Linked DNA regions of Rhinolophus ferrumequinum. The protein of the gene in region 1 interacts with the protein of each later gene in a pairwise test. Links are inferred from orthologs where the notes say so. Each region holds a gene or a part of one and is shown in the gene's direction. Other genes may lie near its edges.

Region 1 (3,600 bases):
AAAAAAAACAAAACAAAAAACAGAAACGTAAGCAATTAAGTATGCTCGAGAAAGCTTCAGTAAACGGATCCAGAACTTCAAACAACAGGTGTTTCGAAACAACGCTGTTAAAACAAACAAAATCTTAAACCGTCTAAAGTACCCAGAAAGAAAAATTTACTAGAACTAAACTTCAAAAACAAACCCACCTCCTTCATTTCTGCAAAAGAAATTAAAATAATCCAGGGCGTTAAACGTGCATACGTTTTAAATATAGAAACGAATCGGCAGAACTCTTCTGGCAACTTTAACATCAGTGGTAGGCAGTTCTGAGTCATCCTAGGGTATTTCTCATCACTTACCCTCTATTAAGTATACCAAGCTTAATTCTATGTTAGTCTTCATTTCCACTGTTCCCTGTACGTGGAGTGTTTGTCCTCATTCTTCAAATCCAGTTAAAAGGCCCTCCCTGACGATCCCAGCCAACTTACCTCCCCAATCACAAGCACAACACCCCATTTTTTCTTCACAGCGCTTGCCCATTAAGTGAAATTTATTCATTTATATACTAGTGTACTATACTATAATCCGTCTACCCCAATACAAGGTAATGAGAGTGAACACTGCTGGTCTTTATACTTGGTTTGCAATACCTGTTTGTTGACTATTAGGGACCTGCAGTGAACAATCTCTGTATTCCTTTACAATTTATGGCTTGAAAGAATGAATGAATGCATTCGTGGGTAAATGGGTGGATGAATAAATGAACAAAGATAGTGGATATCAGTTGCTCGCATTCACAGAGCGCCTGCGTCCAATTAGGCGCCCGAGACCCAAATGCTGCTGTACCACGTGGCCAGCTCGGCGCCTCGTGACCCGCTCCGCTATCACGGAGAAATCCGCCACTGTCCCACCATGCACCGCTCTCTTCCCGCTGTAGAGGACGAATCAGTCTTGATTTCCGGCCTTCACTCGGTCGCAGAGGTCAGTTGCCCTAACGACCAGCTCGTTCCCGCCTCTAACCTTCGTCACTTCCCCCCACGCCCACCTGAATAATTGACGCGCTTGCGCAAAATGACAGCCAGCGCGCGAGGAGGCTCTTTCCGCGCAGGCGTCGCGCCTGGGGGGGCGGGGTTGGGCGCCGCCGCGGTGCGCAGGCGCAGCCGTCGGTGGGTCGGGGTTCGGCGGCCTGAGCGGTGAGTAGGTGGGCACGGCGCTGAGCCGGGCGGGCCTGGGGTCCGCGGCTCGGGGCTCTCGGGGCCTTGGGGTCCGTAAGGGGAGATCGGGCTGAGGCTGGGGTCGCCGCGATCCACAACAGTGTGCTGTGTGAGTGGGCGGCACGGAGGGGAAACTGAGGCTGGGTGGCGTCGGGCAGGCCCTTGCCAGCTCTGGCCTTCCTCCTCCGCACCCCAGGCCCGGGAAATGCTAGTTCTCAGGCCCGTGGGTAGACAACGGGAAGTAAGAGCGCCCACATGTAGTTATACCGCTATGGGTGTCCGCTGCTGTCGGGAAACAGCCCCTTTCAATTGGGGGGCCCCCATTCGTGAGGCTCAGGTCGGGGCTCCTGTCCCAGCGCCGCCGCTCTCCATCTGGGTGACCTTGGCCACCCTCTTGACTTCTCAGAGTCTCAGTTTTCCACTCTGTAAAACGGGCGTCGTCACAGTCACTGCCTTGGGGGGGTTCGGGACGGGGGGTGGTGGTTTTAAAGCCACAGAGCGCAGCGCAGAGTGAGAGCACAGAGGGATCAGCAGTTAGTCTTATTTCACTCTTAGACTCTTCTGCATGCTGTACGCGAGGCGGGAGAAATCTGGGCTTGAGGACCAGCTCCACCACCTCCCGCTGGCTGTGTAAGCTTGGGCAAGTCGCTTTCTCTCTCTGAGCAGCACCATTCTTCTGCTAGAGAGACTGTAGAAATATATGCCTGCTAGGGTTATTGTGAGGTTAAATATACCTAGAACATTTTTTAATCAGATTCCTGGTGCTTGTTAAGAGCTCACTGGAGAATGACCAGTCTGTTTTTCCTCTCTCTAGACCAGTGGTTTTGTCCACCAGAGAGGACACTGGGCAATGGGGACATCTATGGTTGTCATGACTGGGGTGTTGCTGGCACTGAATGGGTGGCGGCCAGGGGTGCTGCTCAACACCCCCACAGTGCCCAGGACGGCCCCCCAGAGAATGGTCAGCCCCAAATGTCAGCAGTCCCAAAGTTAAACCCTACCATTATACCACTGGTTCTTCACCAGCAAGAGCTTGAGGAGGAGGGTTTTGAGCGGGGAGGCACAAGAAATCATGTGCAAGGTTTTGTGTGTGCACCCATTTTTGTGGGGACAGGAAAGGGTACTTTGGCGTTTAAGCTCTGGAGTCAGACTGCCTGGGTTCAAAACTGATTTGTGACTTAGCTGGGTGACCTTGAGAGGCAACCTATCCATCTAAGCCTCAGTTTTCCTTTCTGTGGGATGGGGATTAGACAAAGCAACCCAGGCATCCAGCAAACTGGTCAGGGGAGCAAGTCCAGCTGCAGCTTGTTTTTGTAAATGAAGTTTTATGGATAGAGCCACACCAATCGCATAGGCTTTATCTGTGGCTGCTTTTACATTGTATTAGTAGTGTTGAATCGTTGCCACAGAGACCCTGTGGCCTGGGAAGTTGAAGGAATTTACTCTGGCCCTTTTCTGAAAATGTTTACTAACCTCCGAAATAAGCCATTGCATGTACAGCACTTAGCTCAGTGCCTGGAAGGTCCTTGGGACTCCAAGGATTTCACCTGAGGTTTACAATTCAGTCTTCTGGAAGGATGAGTGACTGTAAATGGAGTTAACCTCGGCCCCAGGTCGAGAGCTGTAGTCTTACTCTATCCTGCATTTTTTCTGCCAAATCCCAATGCTGGCTGAGGTAGGAAATGCTCAGTGAGGACTGAAGGAATAAAGGGGATTGTGAGTAGGTAGGTGAGACTGAAGATCTAATGAGCAAACCAAGTCCCAAAGAGAATGACCTCCACAGGGAACCTGGTTGTGTGGTTCTGAATTTAACAGTGACCTTATGTTGTCTTGAGTCCATATGGATCAAACGCCCCCAAGTGCTGGGGTTCAAGGGCAGATGATCTATCCAATGGCCCACAGTCCACTGGGGTAAGACAGGCCAGGAAAGTGTCCTACAGCCTTTTAGGAGGTGCTGGACCAGAGGTGGGAATCGTACTTGGTCTTTGCTGGAAAAAGAAGGTGTCCAGACTCTGTCTGAGGCAGTGACTTTGAAGCTTAGTGTGGAAGATAGAGTAAGAGTTTCCCCAGTGGGTCAGAGGAAAGGCGAGCAGTCGGTTTGCGTGGAGCACAGAGGGTTCAGATTAGGCCCAGCGGGTGACACACCCATGGTGACGGGTCATGTGTGCGCCCACGTGACGTTTCAGGGAGCTGTTGAGGATTTGTTGAGTGTGCAGGACATCCTGGTGGCATTTTTGAAGAAAACAGGGCTGGGCTGGAACCCGAGTTCTAGTTTGGGGGCAGCCCTTCTTGGATACAAGAGGGGTTCTAGGATAGGAGGGAGGAACATGGTACCAGCTTGCAGACACCTGTGTCTGTGACAGGAGCTGTGGAATGCCTGCTGGAGGGGCAGAGCGCCCACGGA
Region 2 (3,818 bases), on another chromosome or scaffold:
CAGTGGACTAATTTGGGGATGTGGGAGAAATTTTTGAGCCTGTTAAGTGGTGCTCTTTTTCTACCTGGCTGTTCAACTCATTGCTGAAAAGAGTCTTATTAGTTTATCTCAGAAAAATTGGTTCCAATGTGATTTGCTTCACATCAGTTTCCCTTCCAATCACAATGCCATGGGGTAGTGTGTCCACTGTCCTCAATGTCCTTTCCCCTGCTTATCTCAAATCCTTCTCGGTGACCTAGTCAGTTGTTATTATCCCCACTTCCCAGCTGGGAAGACTTAGGCCCAAAGAGATTTTCATTGCTGTCCCCACTGCACCTGTTATTCAACGAGGATTCTTTGAGAAACCCCTTTGTGACCCGCAGAGTGCCTGGAACTACAGGTATTATATCAGAACAAGCCAGGAGAAAGTGAGTGAATGTGTCAGCTGACGCTTACAGAAGGGAGGGACTTTGGGTAATCCCTAAGAGTCCGGGAGTGTGGGAAAGTCAAGGTTCATTGAAGGGTCACACCTCACTGATTGTTCCAGGTTTCTGAGAAGCTCCATTATGTCCCTCCGTTCGGCCCTTTAATCTCCCTTTTTCCCCTCCCCCTCTCACCCCAAAGGCAGGTGGTTCAGGGTTCTCTAAAGTGTTTGTGAATGGCTCCTGGCCATTCTGGTGACATGTCCCCCTCCAAGTTCTATATTTTCCTTCCTGGGCCCCAGGCTCTTGCCTAGAGCAGAAAAGAGCCACCAACACTCTACATGGCAAGGTCACTGTCTTTGCCTGAGTTTCCTGCTTATGAAATAGCAGCTGGGAGAGCCAAGACCATTCTGGTTGGGCCACACCCACAGGGAGAGGTATAAGGGCAAAGGCGGGCCCTGGCCACCTCAGCCCTACCTGCTCTCACTATGAAGCCCAGCAGCCTGGTCCCCTTTGTGGTGCTCCTGTCCCTTGGAATCCTGACGTTGAGGTCTGTGGAAGGGGCTAGCAAAGGTGAGTCAGTCTCAGGCCATCCAGGTTCTCGGCATGGCCTCTTCCTTTTAGCCCAGGTGACCTGGAAGCCATATTTCCAGTGGTCCAGCCTATGGCCCGTAATTTCAAGCATCTCTCCGAGGACTTCAACCAAGAGAGTTTCTGAGCTCCTGGAAACCCACCTTTCACCAAATGGACCTGTTGACCTCAGTACTTGTCATACTGTTTCTTTCTCTACGGTGCCTTCTCTACTGTTTGGTCGTTTTCTCTGTCACATTCTTTTCGTCTCCATCTGTGTAATTTTCCAACTTGTTCTCTTTTTCTCTTACTAGCTCTTTTTTGATGGTCACTTTCTCTTTCTCTATTTACTTATCAGTTGATCTGCTCTCTTTCTTTCAATCTCTGATGAGTTGTCTCTCCTGCTATCACTGCCCCTCTCTGTGTTCCTCCCAGCCAGGGTGTATCTCTCCCTCTACCTGGGCCGGGAACACCTAACCGTGAGCTCTATGCAGCTGGGTCCTGGAACTGGCTCATACTGGCTTGCAATAGCTGACTGGTAAATTTTCAAGACTTTTGTGGGCTAGTTGACATCACATTGGTAGCTTGAAATCAATTGTGAAGGGAGTATTTACACCATGGAAATTGGCGAACACTACAAAATCTCCCTCTTAAAACATTTACCAGCACACCACCATCTGTGTCTTCTTCCCTGGGCCATTGACACGCTCTTGGTTGAGAGCTTGGCTGAGCTTGCCACTGCCCCACACCTGCCTTAAAACTGGAATCCTAACTGCTCCTTCCCTTCTTTTGGGGTCAGCCACCTGGGTTAGGTTTTCTCTCCCCTCCTGAGAAGCTGGTTCCTTGTCCAGGATTATGGTCATGACTCAGAATCAAATCTTTCTCCTTCCTTTGTTCTTACCCTTCAGAAAAATCTAAATATGGAGCCTGCCCCTTCATATCCCCGGCGATGTGCCTTGTCTATGAACCCCCTCAGTGCCACAGTGACTGGCAGTGTCCAGAGAAGCAGAAATGTTGTCCTGACCTTTGTGGCATCAAATGCTTGGATCCTGTAGACCCATCAAAGCCAGGTGAGGAAGTAGAGTCCTGGAAAGGGGGACCAGGGAAATTTGAACGTGAGGACACGCATCTTGGAGAAGTGGAGGGGGCTTCTCTGAACTAGGCTGGATAATGGGGCAGAATCAGGCCTCGTCCATTCCCAGCTCAGCATTCTCAGGTTTTCAGTTGGTCAGTAGGTAAGCCAGTAGCCATTGGCCAGTCCATGAGTCAACTCATTGACAGCAGTCAGTCAGTCAATGAGTCAATCTGTCCTTCAGACATTTACAACACTGCTGGGAGCCTCCTCAGTGGGAAGGAATCTTCTTCAAGACATGCGCTTGACTCTGTTTGGGTACGGAGGTAGGGGAGGACCTGATTTCCATGCATGGGATAGAGATGGGGAAGGGAGCTTGGATGGTGTCTAGGGGATCAAGCCTCTGAGTAGTGGCTTTCTTCTCACCAGTTGCGGTCAACCCTGAGAATTGTCCAGTAGTCATTGGCCAGTGTAAGATGCTCAGCCCCAAAGACGACTGCCTGAATGACAGCCACTGCCTGAACGGTTTCAAGTGCTGCAAGGGGATGTGTGGAAACTCATGTGTCAAACCAGTGTGAGGTAAGGAGAAGATCTGGCAAGTCCACATTCCCCCCATCCTAATACAGCCTCAAACTCCGTGTGCTCTTCCAGGTAAAGGGGGACGCTTAGCGTCTCCCTGCAGCCCGCACCACCAAGCAGATCCTCTGCCCTTCAACAGTATTCACCCCCTGTTCTCCAAACAAGAAGTCTCCAGGCTCACTTGTGATTGGTAGTGCTGGGTCCTGGGAGGGAAGGATTCTTGGAATGAACTAGGAGGAAGGAGCCGTGTCACAAGGCTGCACAAGTTCTATCTTTTAATATCATCTCTGCCTCTGACTAACTGTGTGACTATGAGCAACTGACTGTATCTTCCATAACTTTTGTTTCCTAATCTGTAAAATGGACACAATTATATTAGTTGGTACAAAAGTAATTGCAGTTTTTTCCATTAAAAACCGCAATTATTTTTGCACCAACCTAATATCCACTGAGATACTACCTGTAAAAGTACTTTTTAAGATTGAAGTCCTATGTGCATTGAGTATTGCTATGGTTGTGGCCTCATTTGGTTGGGTTATCTGGACCCACAGGAAACCCTAGTATGATGCACAGATTTGGAGGCCCGATGCTCTGATTTTACCAGAGGGAAGACTAAAGCAGAGAGTCAGTGAAAAGCCTGAATTTGTTCTAGATTCCTAGATGAAAGACCAGTACTGTTTCAACTATTCCAGCACCGTGTTCTCTTGCACTCTCTTTATCCCAAGGGATTTCGGGCGTGATGGCAGAAGGGGAAAGATGTAAGGGGCACTTACTTGGATTGTTCCTGTGCTGAGGCTCTGTTTTATTTTCTTTCCACAAATTTATTTTTATCAGTTCAAAACCATTATGATTTCCTGGTATCTGCGGTCTGGGGATTCCTGCCGCACCCCCACCCCTGAAGCCTGGAGAAAATGAGAGTACCTTGATGAAGATGTAGCTTTGTAACCAATACTTTCTTGAGGTCTAAGTTTGGACCTGTTTTATCAACGTACGCCCAGCATCCAACATGAGGCTTGGCACACAAAAGGAACTGTCTGTTGATTAATGAACAAATAAATGTACAAAGTTTTCTCTACACTTCTATCTTCCTTGACTCATTGAGTCTGGTCTACAGTATGACGGGTGAGATGAAGAACGAAATATCCGCATGCACAGGGTTTCACCCACAACCTGTGAAGTGGAAAGAAGAGAGTTTG
Region 3 (3,818 bases), on another chromosome or scaffold:
GACAGAGAAGGCCCACACCCGGGCTCCCCGCACTAAGGCGGGGGCTGGTCAGCAGCTCCATGCCCCACTGCTCCTGCTCAGAAGAAAGCACGTTGGTCCACAGGTTCTTCCTCCCCTTCTTCCCTCTCCCTACTCCCTTACCTCTGCTGGACCTGTGAGAGACGCACACATGCACACCAGGCATGCAGGGTCTTGAGGAGAGCGATCAGATCCTAACCAAATACCTGCCAACCAAGGAGACCAGAGACCAGAGGAAGAAGAAAAGGCTTCTGACTGGAGTGGGGGAGGCTGGGTCTGTGCCTGGCCTTCCGCTGTGCTAGCCCTGGGAGTCCGAAGGGAACAACCCCGCCCCAGGGGAGCTCCACCCCAAGCAGGGAACAAATTCAGCAAGAGGGATTGGAGATGGGAGATAACTATGCTGGGTAGTAACAGTGTCTAGTAGGATGGTGGAGAGATGCCATTAGACAAAGCCTCAAGGCAGCGAGCAGCAAGCCTGGAAAAGAGCAGAGAAGAGCATTCCAGGCAGGGGGAACAGCCATTGCAAAGGCCTTGAGGCAGGAGTGTGCCTGGCGAGTTTGGGGACCAAGAAAGAGAGAGAGAGAGAGAAAGAGAGAGAGAAAGCCCAACCCTCACAGAATGCTGCCTTTTCTGACAGGCCTGGTTCCATGGCCTGACCCTGCAAGCTGTGCATCCCAGGACGGCTGCCTGACTCCCCGGCCTGCCAGGGCCTGTCCTTGGGCCTGCCTTCAGCCTCTCGAGAGGCTTCACGTGCTGTCACTCAGCCCTTGGCCCGCCCTCTTAACACTTGTGCTGTCACTCATCGCCCAGCCCAGCCCACACGTGTGCTGTTCTTCAGCCCAGTCCCCGCCCCCACACGCGTGCTGTCACTCAGCCCAGGTCCCGCCCCTCCCCCCGCCCCCTGCACATGTGTTGTCACTCTGTCCTGGACCAGCCCCCCCCACTCCGCCCAGCACACATTTTGTCACTCACTCGGCCCCGCCCCGGCCCCGCCCGCGCACTTGTGCTGTCACTCAGCCCCAGGCCCGCCGCCACACTCGTACTGTCATTCACTCAGCCCGCCGGCTCCACCTCCCGCCCTCCAGCCCCCATTTCCCCCCACGCACACATGCGGCCCCCCAGCCCTCGCACTTGTGCTGTCATTCAGCACCAGGCCCCGCCCCGGCCACGTGTAGTCACTCACTCTGTCCACCGCCCGCGCACTTGTGCTGTCACTCAGCCGGGTTTTGTCGAAGCAGGAGGTACAGCTCGGGCCCGGCCGGACACTCGGCCAGTCGCCCCGCCGCCGGCCCATGGAAACCGTGCTCCTTCTCGCCCTCGGGCTGCTAGCCCAGGTAAGGCATGGGCACCTGCGGGGGTCCCTGGCCCCCTGCACTGCCCAACGGTGTCTTAGAGTGTGTCGCCCCGTCGTCCCCGGTACTACTGGCCCTGGTTGCCGTTAGGGGCCCCTGAGCTGATGGTCCTGGGTGGGGCAGCGCTGTCCAGGGCGCTCTGGGTCCCGGGGGTAGGAGGGTCCAAAGTGGAGTGGAACTGCCTCCCCCTGGACTGGACAGGGAGCCGAGCTGGCCAGGAGACCGCCTAGCAGGCCAGCCCCTCCCTCTGAGGTGTGCCCCTCAGCTCTACTGGGAACTGGAGTAGTCAGTCTTGTGGTGGGAGGCAGGGAGAGTGGGGAACTGCCCAGCTGGAGTTGCTGGCAGGCTAGATCTCTGTAGGAACCCCAGGCCAAGTTGGCGGATGACATTCGTTAGTCTTGAGGGGAGTCCAAGCCCCCCTCCGTGTGCCCTGCCAGCGTTGGCAGCTTCAGGCTCTACCTTCCAGGAACCCACTTTTCCTTGGGAGGGCCCTGTGCCCAGGGGAACCAGGTCCCAGCACACAGCCCACCACCCTGCACACTCCTTGCTGGTCCCCCGGCCTCCCCAATGAGGGAGTAGGATGGGTAGAAGGAAGCACAGGCCACCCCCTCCTCCCCACAATGGGCACCCCCTGGATCTCCTCAATGCCTAGGCCAGGAATGGAGCATGTGGCCTCAATGGCCTCCTGCCTTCAGGGGACTGGGCTAAGCCAAGGTCACAGGTCAGAGGCCAGGGGCCACGGCCAGGGCCAGGCAGAGGTCACGTAGAACCATCATTTGCTATTACAGTTCCAGGCCCATCAGGCAGCTCTGGATGCTGGTGAGGAGAGACAGCTTCCTAGCACCCACCATAGTGGCTTCTGAGTCCCCCTCATTCTCACAGACCTCCGAGCTCCAGCTGGCCAGCTCAGGTTTCAGCCCTGGCAGCTGACCAGATGCCCGCCAGCCGGACCCTCCAGCAGCTGGCCCCTCCGGGCACCTAGCCCCATGGCTCCGTCCACCTCCTCCCTCGCCTTTGGGCCTTCCCACTGTCCCCCATTGGAGACAGTGTCCCTGCTGCCTAGTCCTGTGCTGTCCAGCTGGCTCAGCACAGCCTAGTCACCCTTGGCCCAGCATGGCCTGGCCCCTCCAGCCCTCTGCTGGGAGACCGTACCCCTGGATGCCCCCACACACTGGGATCCACTCCAGAAGGCTCCACGCCTCCCGTGCTCCCTCCCCACTTGGCCTAGGAACGGCATTTCTGCCCCAGCACCTTCACAGGTATATTCCTGCAGACCCCTTTCTCTGGGTCTAGGGATGTTCACCTTTCACTCTGCTGCAGGGAAGGGGAGTCAGTCCCTCTCAGATTCCTCTCCCCTCCCCCAGGGCTACTGAAGAATCCCTCCTCCTCCAGACAACTGGAGCCTTCAGGATCGGGTGCTGGTGGGGGACCAGCCAGTGAGGGCCTCTGGGCTGCTCGAGTTCCCGCAACCAGTGCTCAAATTAGCTCCGGTGTGAGGGGAGTGCGGAGAGCCAGGGGAACAGGGGAGTGGTTGCTGGACCTGCCTAAATCTGTCTGTCAGGACCCTGCCCACCCCTCCCCCACCCAGCTCAGCTTTCAGACTTTTGTTCTCTCCTGTCCAGCCACATGGGTCCTGTGGCGACCTCTGGATACTTCTTCCTCCACCTCCAGGAGCCCCCAAGGCAGGCTGGCCCCAGGCCCAGCATGGGCTGGTGGGGGGAGGGTGCTCAGGGGGTAGTTGGAGACCAGACTACACAGATCCGTTGCCTTGGATGAAGCATGGCCCTCCCCTGCCTGTATCCCCTAAAATCTCATCCAGGGGGCTGAGTGAGAACCGACCTTTGTCGCCCCCACCTCAACCCATAGCATCTCAAGTAGCTGGGCTTACTCGGGGACCCCACCCCATCTGGGGGTGGCAGAGGGATTGGATTGGGGTAACATGGATGATTCAGGGCAGACCCACACCCTGCTGGGAGGGGCCCCAAGCCTGTGTCTGGCCAGTGAGCCACAGGGTGTCTGGAAGAAAAATGGGGCCTCAGTGGCACTCCTGGGAGCTTTGCAAAGTGTGGAGAACCCCAGGCAATGTGGAAAAGTGCCTGGAACAGGATGGCACCCACAGCAGATTCACCCATCTCCTCCAGTAGAGGGCGGGGCTGTCAGCCCCTCATTAGGGTGATAGTAACCGAAGCAGAGGCGGAAGCCTGCTCCTGGACCACTGTCCTCTCCAAGGAGGACAGGAGCCTGGTGGCAGTTATGTTGTGGTGTTCGTCCCAGCAGAGGGGGGCAGGCAGAGGAAACAGCTCCCCTCCCTACCCCCGTTTGCGTGGCCATCCTCATTCCTTCTCTGAAGCCTGCAGCAGCTGGAGGGGAACGCGGGTGAGGGTGGGGGGATGCCTTTCTGGGCCAGGTCGACAGCTGGGTCCATTCCTGGCATGTCTGATGCCTGCC

The links.
Region 2: the proteins of SGTA (region 1) and antileukoproteinase interact in binary tests that used the Homo sapiens proteins (3 or more experiments, as listed by UniProt). The two-hybrid records come from large-scale screens. The link is inferred for Rhinolophus ferrumequinum from reciprocal best matches to the Homo sapiens genes SGTA and SLPI.
Region 3: the proteins of SGTA (region 1) and CDH15 interact in binary tests that used the Homo sapiens proteins (3 or more experiments, as listed by UniProt). The two-hybrid records come from large-scale screens. The link is inferred for Rhinolophus ferrumequinum from reciprocal best matches to the Homo sapiens genes SGTA and CDH15.

What each region holds. Positions count from the first base shown.
Region 1 is NC_046301.1:60,670,308-60,673,907, forward strand, and holds the start of SGTA (small glutamine-rich tetratricopeptide repeat-containing protein alpha), read left to right. Parts: upstream 1-1,053; 5' UTR 1,054-1,175; intron 1,176-3,600. UniProt on the Homo sapiens protein: Co-chaperone that binds misfolded and hydrophobic patches-containing client proteins in the cytosol. Mediates their targeting to the endoplasmic reticulum but also regulates their sorting to the proteasome when targeting fails.
Region 2 is NC_046306.1:12,646,883-12,650,700, reverse strand, and holds antileukoproteinase, read left to right. Parts: upstream 1-851; 5' UTR 852-889; coding exon 890-974; intron 975-1,879; coding exon 1,880-2,041; intron 2,042-2,472; coding exon 2,473-2,621; 3' UTR 2,622-3,442; downstream 3,443-3,818.
Region 3 is NC_046298.1:33,753,222-33,757,039, forward strand, and holds the start of CDH15 (cadherin-15), read left to right. Parts: upstream 1-1,178; 5' UTR 1,179-1,310; coding exon 1,311-1,352; intron 1,353-3,818. UniProt on the Homo sapiens protein: Cadherins are calcium-dependent cell adhesion proteins. They preferentially interact with themselves in a homophilic manner in connecting cells; cadherins may thus contribute to the sorting of heterogeneous cell types.